2 linked regions of the Lytechinus pictus genome follow. The protein of the gene in region 2 purifies or fractionates together with the protein of the main gene of each other region. This does not show direct contact. Links are inferred from orthologs where the notes say so. Each region holds a gene or a part of one and is shown on either strand. Other genes may lie near its edges.

The links. The genes of interacting proteins can lie anywhere in the genome.
Region 1: the proteins of transforming growth factor-beta receptor-associated protein 1-like (region 2) and vacuolar protein sorting-associated protein 33A-like purify together in Homo sapiens (co-immunoprecipitation; 5 studies listed by BioGRID and IntAct, with this or other methods). This does not show direct contact. The link is inferred for Lytechinus pictus from reciprocal best matches to the Homo sapiens genes TGFBRAP1 and VPS33A.

Annotation. Positions count from the first base shown.
Region 1 is NC_087246.1:16,838,326-16,848,701, forward strand, and holds the start of vacuolar protein sorting-associated protein 33A-like, read right to left. Parts: upstream 4,177-10,376; 5' UTR 3,966-4,176; coding exon 3,816-3,965; intron 2,831-3,815; coding exon 2,765-2,830; intron 2,320-2,764; coding exon 2,080-2,319; intron 1-2,079.
Region 2 is NC_087250.1:18,850,971-18,862,136, reverse strand, and holds the start of transforming growth factor-beta receptor-associated protein 1-like, read right to left. Parts: upstream 4,347-11,166; 5' UTR 4,333-4,346; coding exon 4,189-4,332; exon of another isoform or gene 3,989-4,188; intron 2,518-3,988; coding exon 2,401-2,517; intron 1,943-2,400; coding exon 1,890-1,942; intron 1-1,889. UniProt on the Homo sapiens protein: Plays a role in the TGF-beta/activin signaling pathway. It associates with inactive heteromeric TGF-beta and activin receptor complexes, mainly through the type II receptor, and is released upon activation of signaling.

The sequences.
Region 1 (10,376 bases), on a different chromosome or scaffold from region 2:
AGAATATATGCACATAGTAGAATTGCGCTATATAAATGGATATATTATCATTCAATTTAAATTCAATTCAATTATCAATTTTATAAAATGTAAAGCACATATATGTGGATGGGGAATTACAATATAAGCCTATGGCTGGCAAAACAGTGATCCCCTACATACATACCACCTTTACTAATAAAAGAAGTTTGTAGAATAAGTAGTTTAATTCTAAAGAATTTACATTTCAGTCCAGGTCAGTTTCATAACACTGTCTTAGTTCTCTCATAGCAACTGGTTTTAGACGCACCAAAATGCACATCAATATTTTACCCGATGTTGCATCTGTACAATCTGTCTTTAGTGATAAAAAAATATTGGTTTGCCACATTCTAGTCATTAGTAAGGTGATGCATACCAAACTTTATGAAAATTTGGCTTTAACAAACACCCAGGGGCGGCTGCACAGAAGCATTGTTAGCGTAAAAAAACACTAACAGTAGGGCCAGTCACATCTTTCACGGGCGACCACCGCCTAGATGCATTGTTTTCACTAACAGAGCACTAAAAGTAGACCTACCGATATCGATAAACTCACAGAAGCTTAGCCGAATTCCTAATAATCTAACAATAAAAGGCCCAGCAGAAGCTAACAGTGGCGCTAATGTTAATACAAATCACTAACAGTGCCAAGGGCACCAATAGTGACGATGTTAGTGAATAATTTCTCCCTTTAAAACTTGTCTCCCTTTCTTCTTATACCAAGTAATTTAAAATAGACCTCGACCGAATTTCATCAAAATCTGATTTAAAAAATAACAAAATTCTTTAATATTAAAAATTTAATACTGTATTTTGCAAATGATATTACTGAGCAGCATGTGGCCATGAATATGCAATAAATGGAACGATGATGCCATATCCTCTAGCTCTTTCCCCTTTTTCTGATTTTATTGAAATGAACTCGTAATTGTCTCAAATGTGTGTATGTCGCCCGATCTTTGAAGCAATATTCTGGGTGGACAAAATTTAAATAAATCTAATTTTGTATGATACAACAGACTCTCATTGCATATTCCTGAAGACATGAATACAAATTTCACCGAAATAGGGCCTCATGCAAAATTTTAATATACCATAATTTGTTATATTCATTTCCAATTTTTATTAATTTGTCAGTGTTTTATTTGTCTCACTTTACTGTTCAAACCGTATTATTTTCTTCAGCCTGGAGTACCCCTATAAGTATGGGTATACAGCGGGAGATGTTGATTAGTGCCAAGATATGATCCTTTTCATCAATATTTTTTTCTTCCAAGATATTTTTATTGAAGACATTTTTAAGAATAGACCCTACATTAGAAAGAAGAACAATAGCTGATGAAATTTATCATATGATAATCCTCACTGGCAAATACTCTATCATGAGCATGATAAGTGAAGTCTGTGAAGAGCATTTTCAAACAAATAAACTGATGATAAGTGGGATTGCATTTTTTTTTGTACAGAATCTCCATCGTAATATCATGATAGGCTAATTTTCTTGATCTTTTAAATCCTTTTCAATATTTTAAAAATTAAATTAGTAAATATATACTTGCTGTCATTTCATGTTTAAAATGTAATAATAAGGAAATTTTTTAGGCCTATATAACAATTAATTACATTCCTTTACCCTTTCCTAGACAAGATTTTAAACTCGTAGGATGTGCAAATAATCATAACTAAATCTTAAGTTAAATCTAGATCGCTACGCACAAATTATAGATTTTGCCTAACTCAAATCCCCTAACAACACTTGTGCCTAACGGTGCCTTAACAGTGCTTTATGTGCCTTCTGACTGTGCGGTCATTCTACCCATGTTGTTAGTAGCTGATTTGTTAATGAATAATGATATACAGATTGTGATGTCAAGCATTGATCCCAGATGTAAATAATGCATTACTTTGACATTAGCCATCGCGACGAAATTACCAGTTGTAACAGGTCCCTTTCTTAGTGCAATGTTACGCTAACAGCGTTTCTGTGCGGCCGATACAGGTCTCTCCATGACCATAAAATCCCTGAGTTTTAAGCTGTTTCAATGTTAGGGAACTTACCGTCAACTTTCTCTCACAGAGAAGACTCTTCCTTGGCACAAAGAAAATGTGGAACTCTTTGCGGAAGCGTCCAGGGGTTTCCTCCGCCTTGCGGATATTGTCTGCAACAATTGTCATCAGGTCCAATCGAGGGCGCACAATGAATATAACATTCTGGATAGTACCACCTGCACCACTGGACGAACTCTTCAAAGGCAGATGACCATGTCGAAGGGGGAACATACGGTCAACTTCATGTTCCTAAATGAAGAGATATGAATTTGGCACTACTTACATGACAAAAATGATGTAAATTTGTTATAATTTCTTTGACATAGTATCTATAAACTAGACAAATGAGACTTTCTGAACAGCTCAAACTTTATTCAATGTACAAGCTATGGCCTATATGCTACCCTACTACCATACAATGACAAAGGAAGAAAGTTATTTTTTTAATGGTATTTTTGTGTGTCCAAGTGAACTCGTCTTCAATGTTAGATGGAAGGTACAATGGCACTGCATAGATACCAGTGTTAACGGTATTCAGAGATAGAACATTATTTTCAAATACCTCTTTTTTTATTTTATTCTATTTCTTCTTCATCAAGACTGTCTTCTTGTCAGCTTGACCTCCCACAACTAATGTTGTAGTGCAAGAGCAATAACACCTTCATCGATCATTATACAGCTGTAGACAACCTACCTTTAACAAGGAATATTCAGCGATGAGCCCAATAGGTCCCGTAAGAAAATCATCCCAGACCACTGCCTGCATGTAAAATGATGATCGACAGAAGAATACGGTAATATGGTTCATAAACAAAAGTTATGTATGACTAGTGACCTGTTGTGCTAACAATAAAAAAAAATCCCAAGTGAAATTTTGATTGTAACTTTCATTTGATGAATATTTTGTCAAATTTGAATTGAATTGATTTGAATATTCAATTTAATAATTTTTTAGGACCAATTAAAAAAAATAATCAGTATCATGCTTATTTATTTCTTTTATTAAATATTAAATATCACAATTCTTTTGTTTTGAGGACTTGTTTTTTTTTTTACATAAATGTCACATTTTTGTTACAAAATTGTTTTAATAAATCCCCAGAAACGACGTTATTCCTGTAAAACATTAGATTTAGATACCAACGACTGGCAACGTAACTGGCCTGCATAAAACAAAAAAGGTGTAAATTTACAATCACCCCTAACTTAGACCAAAAGCTTTGGTCTCAGTTTTATTGGTTGTTCTGCTGAACTCTGTTGGCTCCACTCACAAATTATAGACTGAAGTAAGTCACTTTTTCCCCCCTTTAAAAAGTTTTTTTTTGTGTGTGTATTTAAGGCCAAAACTGAATATTAATCTTCATTTTGGTCCAGTTCTATAATATAGGCCTATATTTTTATGAAATAAAGACAAAAATCGAAGAGCCGGCCCGTCGTTTTTTTTTTGTCTTGTTAACCCCCCAGGCCTAATAATGTATAGCTGAGCTGAACCGATATCCAGTTCAACATGTTCAATACAATTACAACAGAGTCTGACACACCCAAGTCCACCCCCCTCAAGTCCACCCCCCCCCCCCCCCCCTTTCCCGTAATCATATGCCCCAGTCACACAACAGGCTCGTCAGAGTCGTGGAACGTAATTAAAGTTAGACCTAGGCCTAGGCCTACTCGTTAAATTTGTAAATTTGTAAATTTGTTGTAAACGAATTCTAATCTAAGTTAAGCAGTACATCAATCAAACTCACCTTACTCCCTATGCATTTGTCCAAACAATCTAAGAGTTCTCTTCTGGCAACTTCTCTCCAAAAGGCTAAATTCACACGTCCACTGACAAGATGTGTGGCCATTTTTTTTTCTTCGTGGATATATGCATACAAAATGAACCGTTGCTGCATATAAATTTGTGCAAGAAAGACCGCGGAGGCCGAGCTAGCTCTAGCTACCGGGGCGCGGCGGCGCGGCGGGCGGGCGGATCGGAGACCACATGTACGTAGCTAAAAAAGGCCAAACAGATTTAGTTCAAGAGAGTGGTTGATTTCATACGCAGCGCGCAGGCAATTGCATAACTAGGCACGTCCCCACTCCCGTCGGCCTACAAAACAAAAATAAAAATATACGGAGGAAAGGGAAGAGATTAGGAGAAATTAAAGAAACAAGGTTAAAAGAGAATAAAAAAGAAAATGGAAATATTAGAAATATCTTTAAAATTCAACCATTGTTAAATGACCGATAAAATTTGAATTATTTTACAATATCAAAAAAATATTCCTTGAAAATTTTCCAACTGATATCTCGGCATGCAAGTCCATACTGAAGAATTAAAATTTATTGATACCCCTAGCTGTTACAAATTAGTTTTAATCCACGGGCGGCTGAAGCACTAAAAAATGCCCCTATTAGAAAAACAGTGCACCCGGCTTACTAACTTTTTCACTCGAGTGCCTCTTTCATCTTCATATAGTGAAAGGTCAAGTCCACCCCAGAAAATGTTGATTTGAATAAATATAGAAAAATCAAACTAGCATAACGCTTAAATTTCATCAAAATCGCAAATGACTGACATTTCAGTTTGGCTCTGTTATTTTTCACAAAACACTGAAATGCACAACACAGTGATATGCAAATGAGACCCTCACTCACTATTTCTTTTGTTTTATTGTACTTGTTTGAATTATACAATATTTCATTTTTTACAGATAAGTATGACAATAAGGGACCAACTTGACTGAACCACACATGTATAGCGTTAAACAATGATAATGAATTGCACATGTTTATGGGGGAATTAATCGTGTTTCACTTGACAATTAGGAGAAAATTTCATATAATAAGATACAAAAGAAATATGAGTGGATGACGTCATCAGTGTCCTCATTCGCATACCGACCAGGATCTGCATTTTATGACTGTTTTGTGAAATTAAGCGAAACTTTAAAATGTCATAACTTTCTCAATTTTGATGAAATTTTCAGCGTTGGGCCACTACAGTAAATATATTTACCTATTTTTTTGTTTGTAAAACAACCATAACTGGTCTCCTTTATTCATTTCATTTCAAAGTAGTACATGTGCATCAATCTTTAATATTTGCCTCCATTTCTGGAGAGAGATACACGGTTTTCTATATTGATCAGGGGCGTAACAGGGGTCGATGGCCGGGGGGGGGGGGGGTGGGGCAAGAGCCAAAAATTTGCCGGTCATAATCATGATATGAACAGGCAGTGTTGTAACGAGGCAAAATATTTGAGAGGACCAGACATGGCGTACCCGGCAGAATTTATTCAAAAAACAAAGTTGCGAGCGAGCAGAAAGTCACATTTTGTGACAGATTTTGACATAATATTCAGAAAATGATATCATTTTTCACCCTTCTCTCTTTCCTTTTCTTTCCTTGTTAATTTTTTTGTCTGGATACGCCACTGTGAACAGGATTCTTTTTTTTTTAATGATTGTGCGCGAAGATCTATACATGCGGGCGGCGGTATAGCGTGAAGAGTATAAAAACAAAAAAAGAGGTGCACTGCAGTATTATGGCGCATGAGCCAAAAAGCTGCGTAATACAAGTCCAGAGCGAGCGAAGCCAGCGAGAAAAAAATAAACATTTTCATGAGAATATAACTTTGAGACATTTCTGACATTATATTCAGTAAATAGGCTCCAACATCATATCTTGCACTTTTCCTTTGCTTTTCTTTCCTCCTTTTCTTTTTTTTGTTTTTTTTGTTTTTGTTCGGGTTGTAGAACTTTTGGGGGCCATGGCCAAACCGCCTGTGCTATGCGAGTGGGAGAAGCGCATGCAGAGCCACCGGAACCTCTTGATATCAAAGCCATTTTAAACCTTACAGAATTTTAATCGAATCGCAGATACATACAGTATATATCTTTTACACAAAATTCAACGCAGTTGCGCAATGAGACAAATATTTTGAGGGGTCACAAGATAGTAATGTGGGAAAATCGAGCGAAGCGAGCCCGAAAATGGCCTTTTGAAATGAAATTCTAATGAATTATTTGATAGATTTTTACATTAAATTCAGCAAATAACATATTTCATTGTTTTCCATTCATTTCATTGCGTTGCCTTCTATTTTTTTTTATTCCCCCTTCTGTGTGGAAGCAAGATCCCCCCTGCACGCCAGTAAAAGTTTAATGTAGGAAGGAGGCCATACAGGGTCGTTCCGGAGCCCTTTGAAGGTTACAGATGAAGAGCCCCTATATACTGCTTGGGGTATATGGGGCAGAGCCCCCGGTAGCTTTGGACATTTAGCCAAAGTAAACACTTGAAAGACTTTTTGACGGTAACTCTTGCCAGCGTAAAGCTTGCCTATATAGGTATAGGGCATTATAACGAAATAATAACATGAGGATTTCAAGCATTTGGCTATAGGGACATTTTTGTCCTGATTGCGACCATTATTGCATAAAATTTAGCAAGTTTAATTGTAGTCCATCCCTTCCTTCCTCTACCCCCTGCTACTAATTATTTTTAATCCTCGGCAGCCCGGTCGTGTTATTACGTTCTTTTTTTTTTTTCTTGTCCCTTGAGTTTTTTCGTTATCCAAATTAGCTCTTGGCTCATTCCATCGGGTATAAATTAATTTCCCGCCTTTGTTTGCTATTTGGATCATCTTTTAATTTATTTTCCGTTCTAAGTAATCATGCTAATGTATAATAGGCCTATTTCGGAATGATTTGTTTTTTCTCACATGTTTTTCTTTCGTTCCTTTTCCCGCTTCCCTTCCGTTTTCCATTTTTAATGTTTTTTTTCTATTCACCTTTTCCCTTTTCCTTTTCCTCCGTTCCTTCCCCTTTCCTTTTCCCTTTCTTTCTCGCTCCCTTTTCTCGTTTTCCCGGTGAAATCTGCCGCGGGGATACACTGGACGTATAGCAAGTTTTCAACATAACAGGTGAAAAAAAAATGTTAATTAGTCTTTTAATTGTTATTTTTCACTTGGATTCATTTCCAACAAAACTTTTATAAAAAGCAAATAATAATTCAAAATAATATCTATATCCTTTTTCTTTTTTTCAACTGATATCAATACTAGAAAATAGGCCTATATAATCTGCAAACGAAAATTTAGCAAGAAGTATTTTTTACTTTTTTCCCCAAAACATTGCCCTTGTTACATTGCAAGAAAAAAAACATGCTAACAATCTCCTTTTTTATTTTTACGTAATTATGATATCGCCCATATCGCAAAATTGATATCCGTCCAACATCACAATGTTGACAATAGGGAAAGGTTGGCAAAGTGTCAACATATTGGACCAACGATGTCGCAAAGGTATTGTTGGGCCAACATCAGTACAAAGTCAACAATTTCGTCAGTCGCGAAATGTTGGCAATTGGAAAAAACACATTGTTGAGCCAATGGGATGTAAATATAGGCCTATATACTTTGACCTGGTATGACAGTCATCACAAAACTTATATTGCGCCAGCAACATCACAGTGTACGTTGACATTAGCATGTTTATGAAAGGTCTAGAAAGCCCCTGGACTGAGTGTCAAAATATATATCTGTTCAGTGGGCCAAGGTTAAAATCTAGACTTTTGCATGTTGTCGCAAAAGTTGTAATAATGTTCTAAGGAAACTAAATTCAGTACTGCAATTGAAACCACCGATTTAATCTTGGCGATGCTGATTGGTGCGAAAAATGCACATTCATTTCCAATGAACAAATTCAAGCACGTGCCCTTGAATTTAATTTATTGTGTATGATACTGTACACCACTGGCGGATCCAGGGGGGGGGGGCACAGCCGGCCCGTGCCCCCCTTTTGAGAAGCAAAACTAAGTTTTGTAATGTAAAACTGATGCCATTAAAACAGAAGTGTGCCCCCCCCCTTTGAAAGTGAATACTTTTTTTAAATATCACTTTTTTTTAACCCCCCCCCCTTTTTTTTGCTTGTCAAATTTTTCCTCGGAAAAATGTGCCCCCCCCCCCCCATTTTGGAAAATCCTTGATCCGCCCCTGCTGTACACTGTTAAAAATACTAAAATTTCACAAAGAAAAATCGTAATTTACAGGATGTTTACCTTTTAAAAACAGACGACACAATGATTTAACAAACCGAACGTATTTACGCAGATAATATTGTGTAACATAGAATTTGTATTATTGCATGGGGTGTTTGTGTTGATTTTCATTTGAATATATAGACTTTTACTACTCCAGAAAAAGCTTTGCGCGTTATTTGCCATTCTCATTATCGGGCACACACGAATGTTCTTTTCAAAACTCATGGTATTCTTAATATAAGATACATGATCTTTACCATTATAATCTTGGATATACAACCTTAGTAGAGATGAACTATACCAGATGTATTTATTCTATGTTTACAAGGAATATCAATATCCATCCCTAACCTATACAAGATCTGCTGGACTTTTCCATTTACCTAGAACAAGGACATTATTAACAAACAAACTGTTCATAATTATCTTCTGCTGGCATCAAACTTTGGAACTCACTTTCACTAGCTTTACGAAATAAGCATACAATATAGCTTCAATAGAGCATTAGAATATAACCTCATGCACTAATAACCGTACACTCAAATTATTCATTCTACTTAGGATATCTTGAGGATATCTTCTATTCTTCCGTATCCCCCCCCCCCCCCCTCCTCCCTTCATTTCGCTTCTTTTCCGTCTCTGGCTCTTTTAATTTGATCTATACCTGTGGAGATTTGTTTTTTGTTTGTTTTCTTTTACTCGTTTCTTGACTTTTTTCAAGTTTGTCCGTTCTTGTTTTGTATAACATTTTTTTCATGCCTTATCCAGCATTCTTTATCTTTTACTTGGGAGAATATGATAAAGAATATATTCAACAAGGATTTACATTTAATTTCTACAAGAAAGATATGATGATTTGTATATTATATATATATATTTTATTTTGAACTAGTACGATATGATGATTTTGTATATTATATTTTGAACTTTGTATTTTGCATTAATATGTCTTATTTATTGAAGGAAACCTTCAATAACAAACTTTGCTTTTCAGGTTTCTTTTTCATTTTTATTATACGTTATATCATAATTAGCTTTACTTTGTAACTTAATTGAAATTTTGAAATGAAATGAATTTGTTATCAAATAATCAATCAATCAGAATTATAAGTTAAATATAAAAAGACAAAGTAAAATATAATCTTTGTAAAAATACAAATGAACTATTGTGTTTTTACGTTGATTGCAGTGCATCTATCGTATAAATAGTGTTCGTATTTGTAATTAACGGAGATTTTCATGTTACTAAATGAATGTTAAAATTGTGTTGCTTTTTTTTTTTTTTTTTTACAGTTATCCATTTTTTCCATATTTAAAAAAAAATTTACAGCCCATCGTAATTTAACAGTTCATACTGTTTGTGAGTCCCAGCTGCCAGTAATAATTACTGTTTTTTTTTTACAGTTTTATTTTTAACAGTGTAGGATTGGTAGGATTGTGGAACTCCATTTTTTGCAATGCTGATTTTGGCCAATTTGGGAGTATGGACAGCGGCCTTACCTACGTTACGGTACACCTGACTTTGTACTACGGAAGTTGTGGAAGAGGTTTCATCTTTCGTCAGGCAAAAGCGCGCGCCCGCCCGGCGCCCATACACATTTTCGATAAACATTTACAATTAATACATTGCACAGCTATAGACGGGCCTTGGGCTTAGAACTCTATTTTTACGACGGCTGGAATATACAATACAAATACATTAATACACATCACTCATCATTAAATGAAATCTTATGCTTTCCAATATGTCCTGTTCTGGAAGTGCGAGGATCCCTGTTGTTGAACTACTTGGAGACAAACTAAAGAACAAGGATCATGAAGAAATTGCGACTGAATCTATCACCGGGAACGCGAAATTTGTTGGCCTGTACTTCTCGGGGCATTGGTGTGCGCCTTGCCGCTCATTTACTCCGAAGCTAATCTCTTTTTACAATAACTTCAAGAAAAGGGAAAGTTCGTTCGAAATAGTTTTCATCAGTTCAGATGAAACTGAAGACCAATTTAATGAGTATTACAGTGAGATGCCGTGGCTTGCTCTACCATACAACCGACGGGACATAAAGGTAAATCTTCATCTATTTTCCAATTCAAGTCTCGATTGAGTCTTGTCATGGCTCTTGCCTTGGCTTGACTCTTGCCTTGAGCCAGTTCAGGAAGTTCATGCAGGCTCGATCGATTCCGGGGCCCTGGGCTGAGCTGATAGTCACTTTAACCATGGACCTATTCGTAATAGGTCCATGCTTTAACCATGGAGCTATTACAGATTAATAGCTCTATGCTT
Region 2 (11,166 bases):
TATTTTATTAGTGTGATGCGTGTGATAATCATGATTACAATGACTAAAAGTGTTTCATCTGTTTAGATGTATATAATTGTAACAAAATCAGCAAGCGCTTGGCACTCGCATTAGATGACTATGGTGAGATATGTATGCTCTTAATGGATTCCTGAAATGTAGTCCTCAAAATGTCCCTGTTTGGGGTCAATGTATACAAAAATTTCAGCTCGCGCTTCGCGCTCGCATTGTTTGTTTAGTGAGATAGATATGTATCATGATTACAAAAATTTGCTTATAATGTCCCTTTTTAGGTCTGAATATAAAAACAAATTCAGCTCGCGCTCGCATTATGCGGTCAGTGAAATACATATCCGTTTAATGGCACTGTCCTTAAAATGTCTATATTAGGTCAGTTTATCTGGCAACTGAGCGCGCTTCGCGCGCTCACTAAGTGACTAAAAAAATTTCTGGTGCCCCCCCAATGCCGTGACCCACGGTACGCCACTGTCAGACAGGATATTTTTCCCTGCATTTGTTGCTTTGTTACCACAATAATCATTATGATGGCAATCATTTCCATCTCCATCTGTCTTTGGCAAATTGTAGTTTGTAGTTGTTATTACTAGCCACTATGGCCCTTATTCTGAAGTCAGGTTTAACTTAGACCATTAAACTCTGTGCTAAAATTATGGGAAGCCAAAAGTGTCAAAATTTTTCTTAAGTTGTATGTTTCTTATGTTTACTGTGCTCTTTCCTGATTCATCGATGGTGAAGACAATCATCTATTCATACTTTCTACACAATTATGAATGATTTGAGAGCCAAATGAGGTGAAATATTATATCTCTACTGTTAGTGATTTATGTAACAATTGGCTATCCATACTTAAACCACAACTTTAAACCCGAGTTTAAGTTACACCCGACTTCAGAATACGGACCTATGGAATTAAATGATGTCTTTCACATATTGTCTTCCTCTCCTTCTCTTTGTTTAACATCAAATAACCTTTCCACTGTCCAATTGTATATATGAATACAAGATCAAACCGAGTCCCATCTCTTGTATAAATTCAATTAAACATGAGTAATGATATACATGCATGAGCCCATTGTGTTTGTTGTAAGATTTCCCAAAAAGCAAACTGGATATACCAAAACTGAATGAAAAACAAAATAAATCCTAATCCTCACTAGACAGACAAGATCTCTTTTTTAATATTGACTTGAAATAAACTGTGATGCACCTGGGTGCTTTTGATATTCAGCATTCTGCACTCCTTTTTTTCATAGTATGCATAACAAACTGGAGTTGGCAAAATGATGTAAAAGGAGAGATCGACACATGTCCTACCACGATGTATGCTACACCAGGGTAATGATAGGAAGTGTCAGGAGTAACACAAGTGTTCTTATCACATCCATTCGCGATCATGATCGCATCATCTTCAAAATTCTTCTCCTTGTATTACATGCAATTAACGGTTCTGCTCCACAGTACAATATTAATCTAATTAACAAATACACTGTCAGGTCCCTACGTTCATCCATCTCTGGTTACCTACATGTAGTTATTCCCAAATCCGTTAAGACATGGGGGGTTTGGGCTTTTGCTCACGCTGTCCCTGTTCTCGTGAATGATCTTCCCCTGGTTATCCGTGAATGCACTTCCACTGACACATTTAAACATTACCTTAAGACACGTCTATTCAATGCTTCCTATTCTTAATTGTTCCTGAATCTATCAATAATATATTTGTAAGTTTTTCTTTCATTCTTTCTTTCCCTGCGCCTTGGGCACTCTGCCGAGTGGATTTGGCGCATTACAAATCCCATATACATGTGTATTATAATTATTATTATCATTATTATTATTGAACCCACCCACAAATAATTGTATAATCTTACCAGTCACTTGTCCCAATGTAGAGATTCTTTCCACAGCATTCTATACATTCAATCTATAGGAAAGAAAGATGAGACAAAAGGAGGACAAGACAAAACAAAATAAAAAAATTTGTTCTCTCATTTCCCTCCAGTTTGTCTTGTTCCTACCTCTAACTTCTTCAACTATTCTACCCTCCTTCTTTGTTTCCCCTTTTTTTCTAAAAATATCTCCTCATATATCCTACTGCTGGCTCAATTTAAGTAAGGATATGAAATATAATTTTCCTGGTTATCACATTGCAATCTAGTCCAAATTCTTTATAGACTGCTACACAAAAAGTCCTTTGTGTAGCAGAAGTTCTTTTTGTACGAGAAAGCAAAATTTTTCCTTCAGAAGGCTCAAATCATTATGAAAATGATATTTAATCGATCGAAGAAAACAAAAAATATTTGCTATTCTTTCAAGTCTCTGCTATCTTCAGGAACATACAAACATGACATCTACATCAAAGTAAAAGTAAGTTGAACTTACTGAAGTTTTGCTTGTTCTCTCCCCAAGTAGCTTCAACCTCTCTACGGCTGGAACCAGTTCAAAAGCTTTCACACTCATCCTTGAAGTGCCTTGTGATATGATGTCGTGGTAATTTTTCTATAATAAACAAGTCCAGAAAAACGATAAACATATCTAGAGACCCACCATAGCAAGTTACATAAAAAAACCTACATGTGCAAGTTGCAGTAGCCATTCATTCGCACCCGCATTACCCTCAAGGCAACTGTCAAATCTGGGCAGATCGGTTTTATAATAAAATTTGAAACTTGATTATTTCACAATTTATGAAATAATAATTTTTATCCATCAATTGTTCTTCAAAACGGCATCGCTAATCGGATGTACGTCATAACGAAGCGGTTCACAGGTCAGACCTATTGTATTTGCTTTGTCACCGTACTTTGTGTAGGTGTGTTGCAAAAGCGCCCTCTAGGTGCATTCTGAATGAAGCATTGAGTGTGCTGCCTATAATCTCAGGGTGACTGTGGGGGCATTGCTTTGTATTGTGTTTGCATGTGCATGGAAAGGTTATTCCCCATGACATCATTGTTTTTACGTAGTTGAATGTTTATGGCAGCTGTCTAGACTTGAAAAAAACTCTCACTCGGTGATCTTGCGACTCTGTGTGCTACTGGAACTTTGGCCTTGCTTTCAACCTCTGAGTCTTGCTATTCATATTTACAGGTATCATCCCAATTTAAAAGGTACATTCATTCCGATAGAGCAACATTTTAACTATATTGTGGTGAAATTTGAATGAAATCAACTGACGCTAAGTGTGTTTTTTAAGTCCCTGTTTCGGCGGCTTCTGTAATTTTTGAGAGTGTTGTTGGGCATTTCCATATGCCAATGTATGCGCATTGCCATTGGTGTTTTCTATTACTTAGTGTACCTTGGTCCCAATTAAGATCACAACTTTTGGCTTAAAAAACAAAGGAATACATAAGAATTGAATAGGCGATTTATACGACCTTAAAACTACAATAACTTTCTTATTTCTGGGGCTATTGAGATAAATGAGGTGTTAGATTATTTAAACTAAAGGTCTTGGGAAGGATGTTTTAATTGAAGTTGAAGTTGATGAGCTCTAAATAATGCCATGAAGAAAACACCTTATTTCTGAGATTTATTTTTTTTGCAACATACCGTACTTTGACCCTTTTTTTTTTTGTCTTTGTTGACAAACGGATTGAAGGATCTACACGAGATCAGTCTGGTACGTAAAAAACCTCTCATTTTTGCCATTAAGTGAAATAATTTGGCATTATCGTGATATTGGGAACCACCGTTCACTTCATACAGCAGTGCTTTATTCAGTCACATGCACGGTTCCCTATTTCCACCTCCATTCACTTTGTCTTTGCACACAAGTGCGCGTATACAAATCGACAAGTACGAGTGGTTCCCGAAACCACGATTTGGCCAATATTTAATAATTTTATCCCTTAACTTAAGTTCATACGCATTTGAAGGTTCAAATATCAAAAAAATTCACACCTATAAACCGATTTCACCCTGTGTGTAAATATGGATACAGAGACTTCAGTCCAGAGACAGAGTAACTTACCGTACTGAGTTAGTAGTCGAGCCCGCAGACAAAACAATTCACAACGCCCACTTTGGTTTTTAGTGATTTTACCCACGCAAAATTGGATGCATGGGGCCGAAGACAACAGAACCAAACAACTTTCAAAATTGGGTGCATGAAATTACCTCCGTGAGTGTTCTTAATGACAGAAAACAATATTATAAGAACATGAGACTCACATGTTCTAAGCCTAAGGCCTGGTTTGTATCATAAATTGGGAGCAAGACTCCGAGGGTCGACGTCCGGGATTTTGATTCGGTGAATTTACGACAGAATTTTGAGACTATACCGGTCACGATCGGAGAGGACGACACACAAAACATCAAGAGTTGACGCATTGATTCCCAGAAGGAAAAACCAGTAAGACCATTAAGAATTTTTACTGGTTTCCAGTAGAATTTTACTGGTTTCCAGTATATTTTTACTGGGCCAGTTGATTTTTAACTGGACCAGTAAAAATCAACTGGAGACCAGTTCAAACAATTGCATTCCAGTTGAAGCAAAGTAGTAATACCAGTTAAATTGTTTTTCATCAAACTGGTATTACTGGTCCAATAAATAATTACTTTATTTCAAGTCAGATCATTTGACGAATTATGGAAAATGAATCTTGCAATTCAGAGAAAGTTATTATCGTTATCATTTTTATCATCATTCTTCTTATAATTATCATAATGATTATTATTATGATCATTGTTGTCATAATTCTTATTACTGTTATCATTGTTATCGATATTGTAATAATTATTATTAATATTATCATAATTATCAAGTATTAACATTATCATTAAAATAATTATTTCCTTTAATTATGATTAAGATCAAAGCAAGATATTTTCCTCTGTTATAGTCAACTGGTCTAAAGTAATTCATTGTTTGAAATTAAACTGGTCAAGACCAGTAATCTGATGATGCTGATCACGTGGTTTACCTCATTTGCATATTTCCTATTTTAAAAAGAAAAATCGGGATTTAGAATGGAATATCCTTGCAATGGCACTCATTGTTGTTTAAAAACTTTCCAAATATTGGATATTACAGGGGCCGCGGGCTATGGGGCTTCAACCCCACCTTTTTTCTCCAAAATCGTGTACAAAAACGTAAAAATTACCATCTGATAGTGATTTTTTGCATGGTCAGCCTTCCCAAGCCCCCCCCCCCCCCCCCACCCCCACTCTCAAAACCATTCCGTCGCCCCTGCATTAGACCAGCTAGATTTGAGACGACATGGTCATACAGTCGAACTGGTGTTTAGACGAAGTGATTGGGACAAAATGGTTGTTAGACAAAATTCCTGATGGACGGTATAGACGAAAAGAAGATAGATTCTGTGATGAGTGGACGGGTGAAGATCGAGTTGGCGATAAAAGAAAATCTCTACCCCCTCTCTCTCCCTCCCTCTCTCCCCTCCCTTTTTTTCTCTCTCTCTCCTTGCTCCCCCTCTCTTTCCATTTCTCTCTGACTCACTCACTCTCTCTATTAAATCAAATCACGTTATATTAGCAGGGGACAACAAAATTGCTGTGCGAGAATAGGGTCTTTAATAGCTTAACAGTACATGATAATGGGGGAAACAAGAATACTTTAAGCAGAATGGATATAACAATCCACTGAGTATACAATCTGCTATACATAATCAAAATTTGCGAGGAATAATTTTTGTCAAATTTATAATTAGTCGTTTTATATACTTAGGGCAGGGTTTCACCTGACGGTATGTTGAAGTGCCACATTCGTTATCGGATATCAATATTGTGCCATTGATTGATTGATTTGATTTATTTATTCCGTTTTGAATAAGGGATATAATATAGGTTTTCCCGTCGAATTTTGTAAAAATCAACCAATTTAATGATGTAATAATTCAATTTGCAACTAATTTGAAAGACTTAATTTAATTAAGCATTTGACCCTTTAAATGTTGATCTTATACATGTTATATTAAATATAACATGTATAAGATCAACATTTAAAGGGTCAAATGCTTAATTAAATTTAATTTTGTTTATTATTTAAACATGTATAAAGAACGATCAAATTGAAATAGCTGAAAAAGTGTTTTCAAATTATCACCGGTACCCTCCTTGCGAACGTTTAGGAATTCAAAATCATAAATATGCAATTACTTATAGGACATGGACAGTGTTTTTCGTAGGTGTTTTTTTTACGTCTTTTGAATAAATATGGAAATGGGATTACTTTGAAATTGGATGTTCAATACCATGTTTCTCATCCCTTTCCCAACACAATATAAATCATAATTATGTAAAAAAAAGAAGAATAACCGTTTACACCCATATATCCTATAAGTGTTACATGAATTACGTCTTTATCAAAGATAATGGAATAAAATGAATCTAACTAAAAAGATCAGAAAAAATAGAAAGAAAAGATAAAGTTTGAACAAATATTGTATAAAGTAATAAAAAATGAACACGAACATGTTATCTGAATTTGGACGTTTAAAGTGCAAATATGTGTCCCGATAAACGAAATTGAAAATAGTATTTAAGGCGAAATTAAACGATCGATCAGCCCGTCGTAGCGAAATTCAATGACAACTTTGGGCCATTAATTTGAACGAATCTCTCTCTAAATTGAATTTCTACAAATTCAAAGGAATGATATAAAATGGAATTGAATGCTGTATAAATTAAAATTGAACCATGTGTGCAGAGGGTGGACAAAAATCTTTCGAATTTGAACGTCCTTTTACTAATTTAAATGCATTTCTGATGAAATTGGACGGGAAAACCTTTATAATTCAAACAATTTTAATGAGGATTGGTAAAAACGGCGAAATTATGTTCGTGGATGTTGTGGCCGGCCATTAAAAATTTCAATCTTAACCAAATTCTGATACAGTACACCATGACATGGTTGATTCAACAGCAGACCTATTATTGCGTCAAGTCCCCAAAATTCAAAAGAATTCACCGAAGACGAAATCCAATACACAAAAAGCTCAAATAAAGTAAGGGCGTTTCCACACGCGAATCTTGAATCATCAATGCAATAATGATTGCAATTGCAGTCGTGACTTTGATTATCGTTCGTGATTCTAATATTAGGTTCTAGTTTGATTTCACACGTGCTAAATATTCGTCATTAGCCTTATTTTTTTCACTGGAATCATCATTCAAATTACGATTGTTTTTACCTTGTGAAAGGGTGGTATGAGGGCTAGGTGTAGTCCGTCTCGCGTTAATTAAAAGGAATTTGATATTTCATATGATTTTTTTTTTAATAGTCGAAATAGCAAATTATCATGTTGGTGTAGCTTGTCAGGATTAGCACACTTTAATTTCATTTCGTTTTATCTCTTCTCATTTTAAAGATTGAAAATGTACCTTCAGAAGATTCAGTCTGAATTCTACGAAATTTGAATTTACTTTAATGGCATCCTATAATAATAATGGTACTTATTCATCGTAACTCAAGCAAGCAGATACAAAATGATTTACAGAGTACTATATAAAATTACTAAATTACAAAACATTATTACGATAGCAGAAATTCTGAATTGTAGTAACAATGTTTACACGATAGGTGGCCTGTAACAAATTCCAAATACGTATTATAATTAAATATTAAAAAGTATCAAGGGAATGTGCACTTACAATATAAAAATAAATAGAGAGGGGAAAACAAAAGAATGGCCGAGAAAGAGAGTCGGGAGAAAATTAATAGAAGAGAGAGGGTGTGGTAGTCAGGAAAACAAGGTGGAGTCTGAAGAGATAGTGTGAGAGAGCAGGGGGAATAAAGAGTAGGAATAAGAAAGGGTAGCCAGAGCTATACAAGACATAGAAAGATAAAAAGGCGAAGGAAGCAGACAATTGCGAACAGAAAACATAATTCTCACAACTGGTAATACAATACTGGTAATACAATACAATACAATACAATAGTATAACTGGTAATACAATACAATAGTATAATATCCGGTATAATATACATGTCCGAATAAGAAACAGCATCTAGTGATCTCATTGTGTAAGCTTTGTGGAAATAGGGTATATATATCCGGAATAAAAGGACACCAATACTGTGATGTGAAATAGCAATAAACTCCCTACGCTGAATTTTCCATAAGCACATTGTATGAGATCAATTGAATCCTGTGCCATTCGCCATCAACCACTACAACTGCGTTGTTCTTCCTATCAACACAAAGTCCTCTCAAGTAGTTGAAAGTCCACCATCCTCGAGTGACATCTCCAATCGGTTTGTGGTCTTTATCCAACACCGTCACTGTCTCATCCGTGTAAAGTAGACGAGAAGTATCGGCGCGAGCAGTGATGAAGATGTTGTCATCCTTGTCAATGGCAATGCCTCGGTAATGCCAAGACAGTTTTGAAGTCGGGATTGTTACGCGCTCTTTAAATTTACCATCTTGATTAAAGATACGAATAGCCTTAAAATCTGCAACATATAGGCGATTCTTTGAGTTGAATGCAATGAACCATGGACTGTCTAAGTTACCTTCTCCTATCTTGTGGGCAAACTTCCCGTTCATGTCGAAAACATGAATACAATTCATCCCCCAATCTGCTACGTACACCTTTCCATCTCGCTTTGCAATGCCAGTTGGGTTCGTGAATTTTGCATAACCTTTGGTCCATTGAGTTAGCTTCCCATTTTTCAACTCGTACACGCATCCTTTGCTCTGCTTACCCATATCCGTTATTAGAAAATTGTCATCAACTTCTGACAAAGCAAGGATGCCGTAAGGTAGAAAGTTCTTCTGGGAGCAGAGGACTGTCCAAAATGAATTACTTGGGTTGATAGCAACTACACGGTTGTTATACGTATCCGCCACGACATAGTTGTCCTTGTGCAGCACAACACCATGAGGTCGATTCAGCTGGGCTTTGAGAGGAGTTTGGAACAGAGTTGACATTGCCATGATCAGGGTTCTAATGATACCCTGGAAAAATAAAAAAAGTGATAAATCTCCGTTAAGCAATTGTTGCTCAAGCAAGTTTTGATCCTGCATGGGTATATGGCCCTGGACCAGTGGCGTACCTAGGATTTTCCACAGGGGGGGCAAAATCGACCGCCCAAAAAATTGACAAGCAAAAAAAAAAAAAATAAAAAAAAAAAGGTCTTCAATCAAAAATAAAGGTTATTGTACCAGAAAAAAAAATGACAAGCAAAAAAAAAAAAAAAAAAAAAAAAAAAAAAAAAAAAAAAAAAAAAGGGCTTCAAGCTCGTCAGGGGGGCAATAAAGGTCTTCAAGCTCGTAAGGGGGTGGGGGCATAAAAGGTCTTTCAAGCTCGTCAGGGGGGCAGTGATATGTATTTTGTATGGGTTGTGGCTCGTCAGGGGGGGGGGCAGAGTGCCCCCCCTGCCCCCCTGTAGGTACGCTAGTGCCCTGGACGATTCCTAATTCGCTCGACAAAAAAAACGCTGCTGTGTACTTGCTACGTTTCTTGTTATAGCCATGTAGGTTTTATTTAGAGGTGTTGTGCCTCAGTGAAAGAGTCTCCAGAATTTGAACCACAAGGTCCAGGACCCCAAACCCACAACAGCACTCGCGTCCTTGCAGTGAAAATAGTTTAGTCCCCTCAATCAATTAGTGTCCCTACCCCCGACAGAAGTAAGTCATGAATATTTTAACATCTGTACGATGATCGAAGAGACATGCAAGACGGTGATGTTCCGTGCTAATTGGTCTCTTGAAAATCATAGTTTAAGCCTTCACATTTTCGAAGGAGTAATGTATTTCGATCCAGCACAAACGTATTTTTGAAACGCAAACTTATATATTTATATATATCACCGAGTTCATTAATTTTGTCTTCAGTCCAAGTAAATAATGTAGATCGCCGGGTGTGCATGCGCATTTGTGTGTTTTTCAGGTCCAATCAACAAATGCCATTGATTATGTAATTGAAAATCATCAAAATCTCTTTTTATCTCTTTTTTCATTCTCCCTTCTTCTTTTCTCGCCTTCGTCATGCATTAATTCTCAATTCCGTGGGTGACGATCTGTGTTCATGGTTTTGGGGGATGACTGATACAAAATATTTTTTTTTTCGGGGGGGGGGGTACGCCTTTAGTGGGTCTCAATATTTTTAGGGCCAGACATGGCGGAGAGGGCGAAATCTTTTTAAAGCTACAAGTAAGCCAAGCGCGAATTTTACAATCTAACCTTGGTCATTTCCGGTCATTTTTACATGATATTTCAAAATATTTATCAAAGTGCACCATTTTCTTTTCCATTCCTAATTCTCTCTTTTTTGGGGGTTCTTTTTGATATTCTGATTATCATTTCGCTTGTATTCTCCAACTATTTTACATCATGAGCCTGAATGAATAAAAAAAATAAAAAATGACTAAATAGATAAACTAAAATAGATGAATAAATAAATAAATGAATAAATAAATAAATGAATAAATAAATAAATCAGTGATCGATACTCAAAATGGGGTAAAATAAACTGGGTACAGCCAATGCGCTTAATAATAGTTGCAGTGACGGGTAAATTTCAAAAAGATAATGCCATGTACAACATATAACATGAACATTCCAGTTTATCCTAGCTGGCCTGGATTTTTACTTTCTTTCTCTATCCAGTTGTTTCTTGCGGTTTCTGAAATGAACGGTTACATTATGAAATAGCAATTAACATAAAAAATAGATTCATAAAGCCAATGATTCCCCCCCAAAAAAATCACCCACAGAGAACAAAATTTGTGTCAGTCAGCCCCACCCATGAATACCAATGACATCCATGAAAGGGAGAAAAAAGAATAAGAGAGAATTAAAACAAAGAGAGAAAGAGTGATGTTGATATTGTAACAGATATTGTAATTTCCAATTAACAAAATCATAATTATACTTTGAAGTAACATAGATCGGAGCCACATCGAGCAGACAACCCCGTGACAACACACAGCAAATTCACATGCACACCCACGTCACATAAATTGGACTGTCAGTCCCGGGGGGGGGGGCAGTCAAATGTATTGCTGTACACACGCGTGACCAAATTATTTCCAAACATCCCCAAACGAGTTTTTCTCTGTGTGCAAAATAACCCCCTAAACAAGTTTTTCGCGGGCTTATTTACACATTTTGACCCCTAAACAAGTTGTCGCCAGAATATGACCCCGGGGAAAAAGCTTGGGGAAACATGTCCTAAAAACGTGTT